3 linked regions of the Oryctolagus cuniculus genome follow. The main gene of each other region encodes a partner of the protein of the gene in region 3 in a complex. Links are inferred from orthologs where the notes say so. Each region holds a gene or a part of one and is shown on either strand. Other genes may lie near its edges.

The links. The genes of interacting proteins can lie anywhere in the genome.
Region 1: the proteins of NFKB1 (region 3) and NFKBIA are in contact, whole or in part, in a crystal structure (PDB 1NFI), measured with the Homo sapiens proteins. The link is inferred for Oryctolagus cuniculus from reciprocal best matches to the Homo sapiens genes NFKB1 and NFKBIA. Residues at the interface, in NP_001158884.1 of Homo sapiens: Lys251, Ile252, Val253, Arg254, Met255, Asp256, Arg257, Thr258, Ala259, Pro326, Lys345, Leu348, Tyr350, Ile353; in NP_065390.1 of Homo sapiens: Asn108, Asn109, Leu110, Gln111, Arg140, Tyr181, Pro214, Cys215, Asn216, Arg218, Tyr248, Gln249.
Region 2: the proteins of NFKB1 (region 3) and KPNA4 are in contact, whole or in part, in a crystal structure (PDB 7LFC), measured with the Homo sapiens proteins. The link is inferred for Oryctolagus cuniculus from reciprocal best matches to the Homo sapiens genes NFKB1 and KPNA4. Residues at the interface, in NP_001158884.1 of Homo sapiens: Glu357, Glu358, Val359, Gln360, Arg361, Lys362, Arg363, Gln364, Lys365, Leu366, Met367; in NP_002259.1 of Homo sapiens: Arg96, Lys97, Leu99, Ser100, Ser101, Asp102, Arg103, Pro105, Phe133, Trp137, Thr140, Asn141, Ala143, Ser144, Gly145, Thr146, Ser147, Thr150, Gln176, Trp179, Gly182, Asn183, Gly186, Asp187, Asn219, Trp222, Val225, Asn226, Arg229, His230.

What each region holds. Positions count from the first base shown.
Region 1 is NC_091443.1:40,158,568-40,162,517, reverse strand, and holds the start of NFKBIA (NF-kappa-B inhibitor alpha), read right to left. Parts: upstream 2,809-3,950; 5' UTR 2,602-2,808; coding exon 2,375-2,601; intron 1,790-2,374; coding exon 1,681-1,789; intron 1,353-1,680; coding exon 1,142-1,352; intron 889-1,141; coding exon 800-888; intron 682-799; coding exon 421-681; intron 305-420; exon of another isoform or gene 142-304; coding exon 94-141; 3' UTR 1-93. UniProt on the Homo sapiens protein: Inhibits the activity of dimeric NF-kappa-B/REL complexes by trapping REL (RELA/p65 and NFKB1/p50) dimers in the cytoplasm by masking their nuclear localization signals.
Region 2 is NC_091435.1:120,182,793-120,187,096, reverse strand, and holds the start of KPNA4 (importin subunit alpha-3), read right to left. Parts: upstream 2,809-4,304; 5' UTR 2,524-2,808; coding exon of another isoform or gene 2,455-2,523; intron 1,903-2,454; 5' UTR 1-1,902. UniProt on the Homo sapiens protein: Functions in nuclear protein import as an adapter protein for nuclear receptor KPNB1. Binds specifically and directly to substrates containing either a simple or bipartite NLS motif.
Region 3 is NC_091439.1:62,714,505-62,718,524, forward strand, and holds the start of NFKB1 (nuclear factor NF-kappa-B p105 subunit), read right to left. Parts: upstream 2,805-4,020; 5' UTR 2,670-2,804; intron 1-2,669.

The sequences.
Region 1 (3,950 bases), on a different chromosome or scaffold from region 3:
TTTTTTTCCTTTTTCCTTTTTTTTTTTTTAGAAAAATAAAACTCTCTTTTTGTACAAATATACAAGTCCACGTGCTTTCCAGGCGCCTGGTGCTCACAAGGTCAGGCGCTGGCCTCCGAACACGCAGTCATCATAGGGCAGCTGGAAGAAGAAGAGGAGAGTAAACCTCCAAGGCCCAGCCCGGGGCTGCAGGCCGCAGGCCAGGGCCCTGGCTGCGACTGCAGCTCCGATCCCCCCACCCGCCGTGCAATGAACTTGACAGGCTGAGTGCATTTCCCTTGAAGGATTTGCTGCTTAAAGAAGGGTAAGCTACTTTTATTTTTATTGGGGGGGGGGGGTTCTATACAGTCGGAGAGCTCTATCCAATATCCCAGGGCTGCTCAAGGGAAGGGGCCTGGCAGGGTAGGGGATGGGGCTCACCTCGTCCTCCGTGCCGTCCGACTCCGTGTCACAGCTCTCCTCGTCCTCACTCTCGGGCAACCTCTGGAGGTTCTCCAAGGTCAGCTGGCCCAGCTGCTGCTGGATCCGGGTGCTGGGGCGGCCCCATGTGAGTTGGTACGGGGAGTAGCCCTGGTAGGTGACCCGGTTGACATCGGCCCCGCACTTCAACAAGAGCGACACCAGGTCCGGATTCTGCAGGTCCACGGCGAGGTGGAGGGCCGTGCGCCCATTGCAGGGTTCCTAGAGCCAAGAGGAGTGTGAGATGCTTAGGAGGCGTCTGGCATTCCTGCGTGCAGCCAGTGTGGCTGACATGTTGCTGGCAAAGAGCAGCACTCCACCTGGCTCGTGAGGCACTCACCTGGGCGTTGACATCAGCACCCCAGGACACCAACAGCTCCACAATGCCCAGGTAGCCGTGGATGGAAGCCAGGTGCAGACACGTGTGGCCTAGACGGACAGAAGGAAGAGAGCATCACCACCTGTTTCACCGTCCCCCTAGTCACTCATGGGACAAGCACATGTGGCCCCTGAATTCTAAGGAGCCCGAATCTGGGTTCTGAATGAACATTCCAGCAGCCTGAGACAGGCGCTTGATACTCATTTCCTCCTGCTTTCACAAGCTGGGAGTTTAAGCTCTGCCCTGCACGCCTTAGGCCAGCCCGCCTCCCCCGCGCCGCCCGCCTGGGACAGCACAGCGTACCGTTGTAGTTGATGGCCTGCAGAATGGAGTGCAGGTGCTGGGCCGTGCAGGTCTGCTTGAGGACGCCCACGCTGGCCAGGCAGCCCTGCTCGCAGGCAAGGTGCAGCGGAGTGTTTCCTCGAAAGTCCCGCAGCTCAGGATCACAGCCAGCTTCCAGCAGTGCCTCAGCAATTTCTGGCTGGCTAGTGATGACAGCCAAGTGGAGCGGCGTCTACGAGTGGGAGAGCGAGCACAGATAAGCCTCGGCGCAAAGTCGTCCTCCGAGTGCCCCTGAGCCGCAGACATCTCCCGGGGGTGGGTGCTGCTCCTCCCAGACAGGGACAGGGGGCCAAAGACCAGGGCCCCGGGTGGGTCGCAAAGACCTCACCCAATCCGTGGGCTTTTAACTCTGCAGGAGACCGGCTTATTGGAATGTGAAAGGCCAGGGCAGGTAAGGACCTGTGGCTGTTCTTTCAGAGAGCTAGGGGTGGGGAGGACTGTGCCACATCGACTGCATCCCGAGGTCACAGAGGGCACAGGGCTGGGGACGACAGGCGCACCTGCTGCAGGTTGTTCTGGAAGTTGAGGAAGGCCAGGTCTCCCTTCACCTGGCGAATCACTTCCATGGTCAATGCCTTCTCTTCATGGATGATGGCCAAGTGGAGGAACCTGCAGGCCAGAGAGGGGAAAACCCCCCGCAAGGGGCGGTGAGCGCACTGCGTGGGGCCCCGGGGAGGCGCGGCCTGCGGGGGATTGCGCAAGGCCGGGGTTTCTGGAGCCGGGGCCGCGGTGTTTTCCGCGGGGTTATTATGAGCTGAGTGTTCCTGGCAGGCGCCCAGGGACTTTCCGGGCCCCGCCCCCCCCGCGGCGGCGCCGGCCAGGCCGCCCCGCCCTCCCGGCGGCCCGGAACGCCCTGTACTTCCCCCGCCGGCCGCGCGGCGCCCGCCCGCCCGCCCGCCTTATGCAACCCGGGACTCGGCGTCCCTGCCGCCGCGCCGCCCCCCGCCGCGAGCGCCGGGCTGCGGGGTTCGGGGTGTGCGGGGACGGGGCCGTCCACGCCCTTCCCCGCCGGCCCGAGGAGCCCCCAGAGGAGCCCCGGCCCGCGCGCGGCCGCCCCGCAGCTTTGCGGCAGACTCGGCGGCGCTGCACGGCCATCCCCCCCCTCCAGCCCGGCTGTGCTGCAGCCCCGGGGCCCGCGCTGCAGGCCCGGCCGCCCCCCGCCCGGCCCGCGGCCCTCAGCCCCCCGACACTTACGAGTCTCCGTCCTCCGTGAGCTGCTGCCTCCAGGGCTCGGCGGCGCGCGGCGCCTCCTGCGGCTCCAGGCGGATCTCGCGCAGCTCCTTCACCATCTGCTCGTACTCCTCGTCCTTCATGGAGTCCAGGCCGCTGTCGTGGCGGTCGTCCAGCAGGCGCTCCTTCTTCAGCGCGTCCCGGGGCCCCTCCATGGCCCAGTCCTGAGCGTGCTCGGCCGGCTGAAACATGGCGCTGCTCCCCAGGTGCTCGGCCGCGGGCTGCGCGCTGGCGTCCTCGTCCTGTCGCCGGCTCCTGGCGGGCGGCGCGCTGCGACTGTTGTGGGCTCGGCAGCGCCGCCGCGCCGCCCTATAAACGCTGGCGGGGAATTTCTCTGGGGGCGGGGTCAGGCGCGGGGAATTTCCAAGCCAGTCAGACCAGAAAAGAGAACTGGCTTGGTCCTCTGCTAGGGGAAAAAAAAAGGCAGCCTAAACTCCGAGCCGGGGTTCATCGGAGAAACTCCCTGGGATGACCCACCGGGGTCATGTCCAGGGAACTTCTCGCTGCGCGCTGAGTGGCTGGAAAGTCCTCCGGGCCCGGCGGCCGCCGCCGCCCCGGTGCTTCCCTGCGGACCGCGCGCGGCCAGGCCGACCCTGCAGGGCCCTCCTCTCTCCCTGGGGTTTCCCACGGCCGATTGCACTCGGGGTCGTCTGCTGCAGGGATCCCGAGGACACAGACCTGCCGGGCCGTTCCTCTTTGGGGTTTGCCGCCCAGCCGGTCCTTTCCGTTTTCTCGGATCTTGCGGAAGCGCAAGAGTGGAAACGGTGGCTGGCCGTGGGGGTTTGTCTTCCCCAGAGTTGGGTGCAGTTCGCGGGCGGCCCCTGGGTTCCCGCAGATTCCCGGCCCTGTAGGGTGCAAGCGCTCCTGGCGTCCCGACCCCCTCGGGGAGAAGCTGGGTTTTAAACCAAGTCCCGTCCTGGGGACTAACAGGCCTGTCGGCTGGGGGAGGGACAGATCTCGCCCTGCGAGGGGTCAGCGCTCAGTGGGGCCTCAAGGGTTTGCTTTTTGTTAAGCAAGGAGTTCGTCTTGGTGGGAGGGGTTGCAGGTAACCTTGCAGTAACGAAGTTCATGGTCTGTGCTGCAGGAAATGGATCCTGAGCCTATTTCTGAGTGCCCAGCTGAGCAATTTTTCAGCATTGGGAGGAGCCTGACCAATGGGTGGCAGTTAGTGTCTTACCCAGGATTGGGCCTGAAAGATGGCCAAGAGTAACTGCCAGGCCCCCCGCGGGAGGTTCCAGGCGGCTCCCCCGTGTGCTCTGGGAGAGGGCAGTAGCTGGAGCCATTCCTGCAGTGCCACTCTTGAGAGAATCCCCTGGCTTTAGAGAGGTTATGCTCCGGCCCCCGAAGCGGCAGACTGGGCTGAATTCAACTACTTCTGGAATTGGTGCAGGTAATCAAATCGGCTTTGATCGGCTTTGAGCATGAGCTCCAGGGGCCTCTGCAGAGGTTTCTGGAGGTTGTGGCAATCACCTTCGCCTTACTGATCAGGTACAAAGCAACCCTTGCCTCTCCTCGGATCTCCACCTGTTCCCCCCATATG
Region 2 (4,304 bases), on a different chromosome or scaffold from region 3:
CAGCCCATCATTAATGTTCTTTAAGGGTAATAAAAGACATTTCTATCTCATTATGAGTTACTCTGAGTAAGTCACACTGAAGAAAAAGTATGGCCTCTGTTATAGTATATTTCATTTTGTTAAGTGTGAAATGAAAATATTTCTATTTCTAATGACATATAGGGGTATCAAAGTCAGCTGAGGATGCCAGCAAGACACCTCAAACTTCTCAAAACAGAAACAAGTCCTGTTTGATGTGTAGATACTTAGTGACAAGCAGCAAGGGGAAATAGCAATCTTTAAAATGAGGATAACTTTAGAAAAATAATCTGGCAATCCCCAATTTTTTTTTAAGTTTTCCATATGACCTAGTAAATTCCACCCGTAGATACATGACCAAGAGACATGAAATGACACCCATACAAATGTACATGAATGTTCACAGAATTACATATTCATATATACCTAAAAAGTGGAAACACAAATGTCCATCAACTTATGAATGGATAAACAAAATGCAGTACATCCATATGCTGGAATATCATTCAGCCATAAGAAGGACTGGAAACACTGATACATTCTTGTCACAATATATATGAACCTTGAAAATATACTACCTGAAAGAAGCCAGTCACAAAAGCTCACAAATTGTGTAAATGAAATGCCCAGAACAGGCACATCTAAAGAGACAAAGTGGTTGCCTGGGGCTGGGGTAGTTGAAAAACGAAGAGTGACTGCTAATGAGCACCAGTTTCTTTTTTGAGGTAAGTGAAAATATTCTAAGAGTGATCCCGGTAATGGTTGCACAACTATGTGAATATGCTCAAAAGCCACTTTTAATGGGTGGATTATATGGTATGTGATTTATAACTCAACGCAGGCAGAAATGTAGAGAAGAAAGGGCTATTTTTTTCTGGACTTTGTTACTGGTATTCATCAGTTTTTAAATTTTGTAATTTGCAATTTCTTCATTCTAAATAGATATTAGTTAAAAAAAAAAACCTGTTACTTTATTGGCACAAATTAATTTACTGAAAATAATACTGTACATTTAGAAGGTTGATTTTTATGGCATGTGAATTATCTCAATAAAGATGTTAAATTTTTCATTAGAAAAAGGGATCATAAGGATTATATCTCATGTTAACCAAAAAGCAATCATAGAATTAATGGCCACAACTCCAATACATAGTCTCTCAAACTATGCAACCCACTAAAACAGCACAAACTACCTCAGAGATCTGAATGGCTTTGTGAAAAGCCCCCAAAGTAAGTTAATAGTCAAGCAAATGCTCCAGTTCAGAAAAAGGCCAGGGGAATTTGAACATCTCACTATAAAAATGCAGAGAGGGATAACATAAAAAAATACTTGACCACTTTTTCCCTTAAAAGCTGAACTCTTGATTCAGATGTAGAAGATTTAAAAACAACAAAAACCTATTTACTTGAACTCTCAAAGCTGAAGGGAAGATAGTCTTGTATCAGAAATCTGACTGTGTGCATACACACACCTTACACAGACCGAGAACCTCGGGAGCAGCTGTATCTAAGACAATGAAGCTTTTTTCCCCCTTTTAAATAATAAAATGTGATGGTGCCATTCCATAGCCCACCCCATCCCCCACCACCACCACCAGCAGGTGGAGGGAAAGGATACTGTAGACTAGAGGATGACAGCTTTGTATAACCCTTTGGACTTTCTATGTAAGAATGCAGCTGGTGGTCTCCTCTCAGGAGGGGATAAAGAGATTTGTGGACAAGCTGAAATAAGGGGTATCCTCTGCCTGGAAGAGGGCACATCGTGAGCCACATCTTGAAACAGCTATATCCAGAGTAAAAACACAGGCCGCTGGAAGGCACTGTTAGCATCACCAGGATGGCCTCTCACGCCGGGGGTGTTTTTTTCAACGGAGAAGTTGACTCCTGTAGTTTGGACATCGGGGGGAGGCAGGGGTAAAGCGGGAGTCGGGAAGACCAGAGAAAACGCCTTTAAGTGGAGACGTCTCGGGCCCCGCCGAGGAAGTTCCGAGCCCCACTCGGTCGCCACACGCTCGCCCCCGCCCCCCGCCGCCCTCCTTTCCCGCGGCGCCAGACGTCGGTGCCGGGGCGAGAGCCGGCCTGGCCGCCGCGGCCGGGGAGGGGGCCGGGCCGGGGAGCGCCGGCCGCACGCGCGCGCCGCTTCCACACACGCCGCGCGGCCCAGCCCTCGCACCCGCGCCGGCCCGGCTCTGCGGGGCAGGCCTAGGCCGCGCCGGCCGTGGCCCGGCACCTCGCTCCCCGGCGGAGGCGGAGCAGGCCCGACACAAACTTCCCGGCGCGGTAGCAGAGGCGTCACGGGCGGGCCGGCCCCCAGCGCCATTCCCCCGCGGCCCCGCGGCGGCGGCGGCGGCTCCCGCCCCTGCTCCCCACTCTGAGTCCCGGCGGGCACCGACCGCAGGCCCACGGCTCCCACCCCTCCAGCGCCTCCGAGTTTACCTCCAAGTCGCGGCCTTTGTTCTTGAAATTCTTGAGCCGTTGGTTGTCCAGTTTCTCGTTGTCCGCCATGGCCGGGCCGGTGACTCCTTCCCCCGCCCGGGCCCCGCGGGATCCGCCCCAACCACCGCGCCGCACCGACACTCCCAGGAACCGGGCCGCCGCCTGAGCTGCTCTGCCCGCCCGGCCGCCGCTTCCTTCCTCCTCTCACCTGCCTCGGCCGCGGCCTTCTCCTCCTCTCCCCGCCCGCCCCCCCGCCCTAACCCCAGCGCGACGGCAGCTCCGGCGAAGACAACTGCGGGGCCGGGCGGCGGCAACGGCGGCGGAATGTGCTGCCGGCTGAGAGGGGGAGGCAGCCTCGATCTGAGGGCCCCGGCGCCGCAGCCACGCCCATCGCCGCCAACCGTGCTCGCCGATTGGCCGACCAGGCTCCGGCGCGCTCGACCAATCGGAAGGGTGGATGGGGAGCGGGGGCGGAAAGAGCGAACGGAAAGGGGAAGCGAGGAACGCAGGGAGGAAAGGGCCGGGGGCTGGGAGGGTTCGGAGGGGAGGGGTAAGGAGGGGCGCGGCGGGGGCAGGGCAGGGAGGGACCACGTGCAGCTGGAGAGCAGGGGGAGGAAGCGAAAGAGAAGTAGACTTGCGGGGAGGCGGGGAAGAGGAACCCGGGACCGCCGCGCAGACGAATTGGTTTGCTCCGGTTGTCAGGGCAGCTCCGGACCTCTGGCGTCCAGGGAGGAAGCCGAGTTAAAGTGGCGTTCTGTCCACGTCCCGCGCACCCTGCCTTCCAAGGCATTCCTTGCGCGCTCCGCTCGCCTTACCAGGAACCGAGCCACGACTCTGTTCCATCGCGGCTCGTGCGTCAGCCCTGACTTTAGTTCTCCGGCGAGGGGTTGCGGGCGTCCGAGGGTCGCTCCTTGGGGCCAGGACTGGCTGGGGTTCTCCAGGCAGCTGCGGAAGGCCGAGAGGGGCAGTGGGTGGAAAAGGAGAGGGGCCCATTAGACCAATCTAGTTCGTCCTCTCCGAGCAAGGGCCCGCAACAGGTAGGAAATTGGGTAGAGCAGATCCAGTGACGATACCACTTCCTAGGTGTTTCGTCTTGACAAAGTTAAAGCATCTACTTGGCGGCGAAGTATTAGCTTCTGGAGGGCGTGAACCATGGCACCTGCCGCAGAACTGTAATATTGTAACTCGTTTGAAGGGAGTAAACTCCCGGGATACTTTCTGTACTGGGAACATCGTTATCAGAGGCAGAATAACGCAAGACACAGAAGAACGTATTCAAAAATTTCAAAATAAGAAGACGAAGAATTGGTTTTTAAATGTATTTAAATACCAACTAATAGCCCCTCAAATGTGCAGGGATGAGAAACAGCAACAAACCGGGTGGAAAGCAAGGGATAAAGGCATTGGCTTTGTTTAAATCTGGTAAGATAGGGGAAGAAACTGTGCTACCGACTCCTTTGGGAACTTTGACTCTTGGTCCTTTCTAATATATTAAGTAGAACAGCATGCAGAAATAAATGTTGAGATGCAAATGTTCCTTAAGTAAACACTTTATAAAGTCAAAGGAGGAAAAATTTAAAGGCGGGAGCTAGGGTGCTGAGGGAAATCTGTGGATTTAACGAGTACCAAACGACCGAGTTCCCTTTCAGAGAGGGGGAAATGAGGAGAGCTAGAATACTGTAGGAGCTGCTTGAAGATGTTGTAAGGTGGAGGAGGGGGTAAATTCTTAGAAGCAGAGCAATACCTTTAAAAACCTTAGGAGTCTATACTTTGAGCTGGGCTATGGCTATGGCAAACAAGCTGTGTCCGGAAATCACATTGTATGTAAATTAAATACAGATCTTAAAATA
Region 3 (4,020 bases):
GAAAGCCAATTAACCACCTATACAAAACAACCGTCCCACTAAAAGACAAATCAAGGAGAAATTTGCACAGCTGTTGATTCATATGTGCCCATATGAATGTGAATCCTGCTCAATCTGTAGACAGAAGAGCGTAATTTGAATATTTACTCACTGTTAAACTGCTCTCTCGACTCTTGCAGATCTAACTTCCTACAGCAGTCACCTCCTTGAAAAGCACATCTACTAGTATGTTCTGAAGGTAAGATATTTTGAGCACTCATCAAAAATCTGTATAACAACACAGATAGAATTACTTTAACTTATGGTTTTAAACTGTGAACTACTTTTCTACTCTTTGAGTTCAAACTAATTGAAGGTTAGGAAGTAACCACTTCCCCCCAGAAGCCAGAACTTTCGCCTCTTCTGAACAGGGGAATATCTCACTTCAATTAGGTAAAAATAAGGGTTTGCTGATTGAATCATTGTCCAAGATCCATGTAAGCTGCCAACTGTTTATCTAAATTTCCTATCTAACACAATGGGCAATCCCTCAAAGTCAGGGCAGTAACTTACTTCATCCACTACCTGGAACTCTAAAAACAGTAGCAAAAACAACCTGCATAAATATTAGTTACTCAATCTAGTTTCAATTTGTTTCAAGGAACAATGATAAGAGAAATGCAAGGACTATGATCAGTAGATCTATAAACCTGCCTATTTCAGAATAACTGAGCTTTAACCAACTCCAACTCAGTCATCACAAATGATATTGTTTAAGTGGTAGGAGTAAAAGGAAGTGCAAAGATCAAAGGAGTGCTCACAAAGGGGAACAAGACCATTTTTATGGGTATACTCCTCATTTTACTGAGTTTGAAAAACAGGAGCATCTACTCAGCCCACGTGAGGGCCAACTGTAGCACAGAAGATAAAACTGCAATTTCAAAACTAGGATAACAGATTTGCAAATCACCACCAACTCCTAATAGGATTATACTGTTTTCTTAAATATGTTCTTCAAGTAGTTTAAAAGTGGTACACTTTCCACAACAAGCAGCAGTTAATTTCCAGCATTAAAACCTACATACAATGAGTCTTCTGTGTTCAAGTTGGCCTACTAGGCTGCCCAAGAAGACATTTTACCTAAACAAGTGAAGGAAGGCATTGAGGAGTTGCAGGTATATCAATATGGATGAACAGTTTTATGAGATTTCCTGTTTCCATTTCATACACATATACACACCCTTCATTTTAGGAATTCAATTCCATGATAAATGTAAAATGCCAAAAGAAACACACCTCTTTTGATTTCCTATCTTCCTGAGCTCATCAGCTCAAAAAGCATTTCACTTTATTTACCTAATTTCTTTAGTACATAAAACAATAGAAGGATTCATCTCTAGAAAGCACAATATTAAAATCAAGAAAACAACATACTTCAGCTAAGGGTTTTATTTTAATTAAGTTTCCTTCTTAAAGTTCCAGCACACACTAATACAGTTAAAACTATTCAAGAATATTCAGTTGAGGAATCCTGCTAGAAAAATAATTATTGATAATTTTGTTTTCAAGTATTAGTATTTACCAAAGATCTTCAGTTTGTAGAAAAACATTCTGATGCTAGAACTATTAAATATTTTAGCAATACCATAACATTTTTCTCAGATTATAAGCTTTATAAGAAAACCTTGGAGTTAAACAATGTTATTTCATAAGCTGCAATGCTGAAAACCTCTAGTTAAAAGATCAGAAATTGTCCTCAGTCTTGATAACTAAATCCTAAATCATTAAGTACCAGTTAAGTTGCAGGATAGGCCAAATTAAACACGTCCATCAGAGTCTATTTTAAAAGCTCATAAGAAAACTTATCTTTAGAATAGTCTTGGTTTATATCATGAGTTTGGTTTTCGAGGTTAGGCACAATGCACGATGCCACTGTCCAGAGCTTTACATAATCCAGTGAAAAGTGCTCTAAGTGTGATTTCTCATCTTTCTCTAACGCCAGGCCCTGGAGGATGAGTACCAGGCCCCCATTTTTTGAAAACTAATGCGCAGGTCCAACAGCAGGTGAACAGATTAGGCCCTGTCGCTGTGTGTGTGAGTGTGCGTATGTATGTACACACGCCGGGCACTTGTGGGAAGCGAGGGCTTCTCTCTTTCAGAAGTCCAATAGGGAGGAATAGGCTCTCCTGTTTAATTCTGGGAAGCTGGGGAGGGCTTTTCCAACCTAGAGAACTGACAAGCACTTCTGCTTTCATTTCATGGAACGCCCTTAGGTGAAATCTGGTTCTGCACTGCACCAACCACCTTCCCCGATCTCCTCCGCGCCGCAGCGTACCCCAAACCTCCAGACACCCCCAGACAGAGACAAGGGGTGTGGATTAAAAAAAAAGTTTCCAAGAGTCGCTTCTGGTACCCGTGCTCGCCGGGCAGCGGGGCTCAGGAGACTGGAGGGTTCCGGCGGCCGCGGCCCTTCGGCCGCACAGCCCCGCGCAGTCCGGATGTGCCTTCCCCCCAGTCGCCAAAGCCCATGTGCCTCTCAACTACTGTCAACCTCCTCCCACGGTCTGGCCCAGCGGTTAGCGCAGGAATGAGGAAGGCCAAGGGGGCGTACCGGGGCTGCGGGCCGGGTGGGCGGCGGGACGCGGCCCCCAGTCCCCAGCGAGGCCCCCACTTGCCCGAGTTTGGCTTACCCTGGTGGCGGGTCCGCGCGCGGCCTCCCGGCGCCTAGGGGCTGCCCTCCGGGGCGGCGCGGGCCTGCGCGCTGGCGAAGGAAGAGGCAGCAGCCGGCTGGAGCCGGCGCCCGAGCGGGCCCGGGTGCGGGTCGGAGCGCGGGAGCAGGCGCGCGGTCGGACCGGGCCGGGCCCGTCAGCGCCGCGCCATGTCCGCAGCGCGGGCGGAGGCAAGCGCGGGGCGCTCGGCAGCCGGGCGGCGCTGCACCGCCTTCCTGGCCCGGCGGCTCCGGCCTGGGCTGCGCCGGTCTGTGGGCACGGGGAGGCAGGCGGCGTTCAGGCCAAGGGCGGCGGTGGCGGTGGCGGCGGCTGGAGGCCCGACCGACGGGAAAGGCAGGGGAAGCTGTCAGCGCGTCGCCGGGCCGCTCCGGTGGCGAAACCTCCTCTTCCTGCCCGGCTCGCTGGTGCACTTCTCTCTCTTGCTCTCTCGCTCACTCTCTCACTTCCTGGCTGGAAATTCCCACTGACGTCGAGAGAGAAGACCGACAGACGGACACAGGCGCGCACGCCGCGGGGGCGGGAGGTGGGGTCGCCGCCGGGGGTGGGGAAAGCCCGCACTTGTGGAGGCGCCCCGCGCCCCCGGTCCGGCCTGGCGGGGCGGCTCGGCTCCCGCCCCTGGCGGCAGCGTAGAGACGCGGAGCGCGCTCAGGCGGCCTTGGACGCTCGGGTGGCCTGCAGGGCTCTTGCTGCTGGCCCGGCGCTCTCGCAGCCTGGAGGGCTGGGGGCGAGCGGGGACGTCCCCAGGAAGCGCCTGCGGGCCCGAATTGTCCGGGCAAGCAGGCGGCGGCTGTGGGAGCGGGCGGTCCGGAGTCCTGAAAGGCAGGCCCGAGCAGCTGGCGGCGATGAGGGGTCGGCATGCATCCAAGCCTGCCAGCTACAAAAATAAATCTCATCTGTATGTTCCATTTAAGTCCGTCTCGGTTACACCCGAATCTCCTCACAGAGTAAACTGGAATTCCGATAGCATAACTGACTTAGGTCCAATGCAGTAGGAACATCTTCTGGGCGTTGGCGAGGTCTTTAATCTCCTGGTTTTGCGCCAGTTATTCACAGCTTCCACCCAGAGCTACGGTCGGGCCTTTTGATGATTACCGTGGATAGAATGAGAGTGAGGGTGGCAGCGATGGTTTTGGTTCACGGGTCATAGGGAAATCTTGATTTGGCAGAAAGGAGTTTTTCTTTTTACCTTTCTTCCTTCCTTCTTTCCTTCTTTACTTTTTTGCTGGGTAGACTGCTACTGGCCCCTGCAGACGGGCCTCCCCTTGACCACCATTCCTGGATTTGAGCTGCTGCCCGCACCTGACACTGCGCT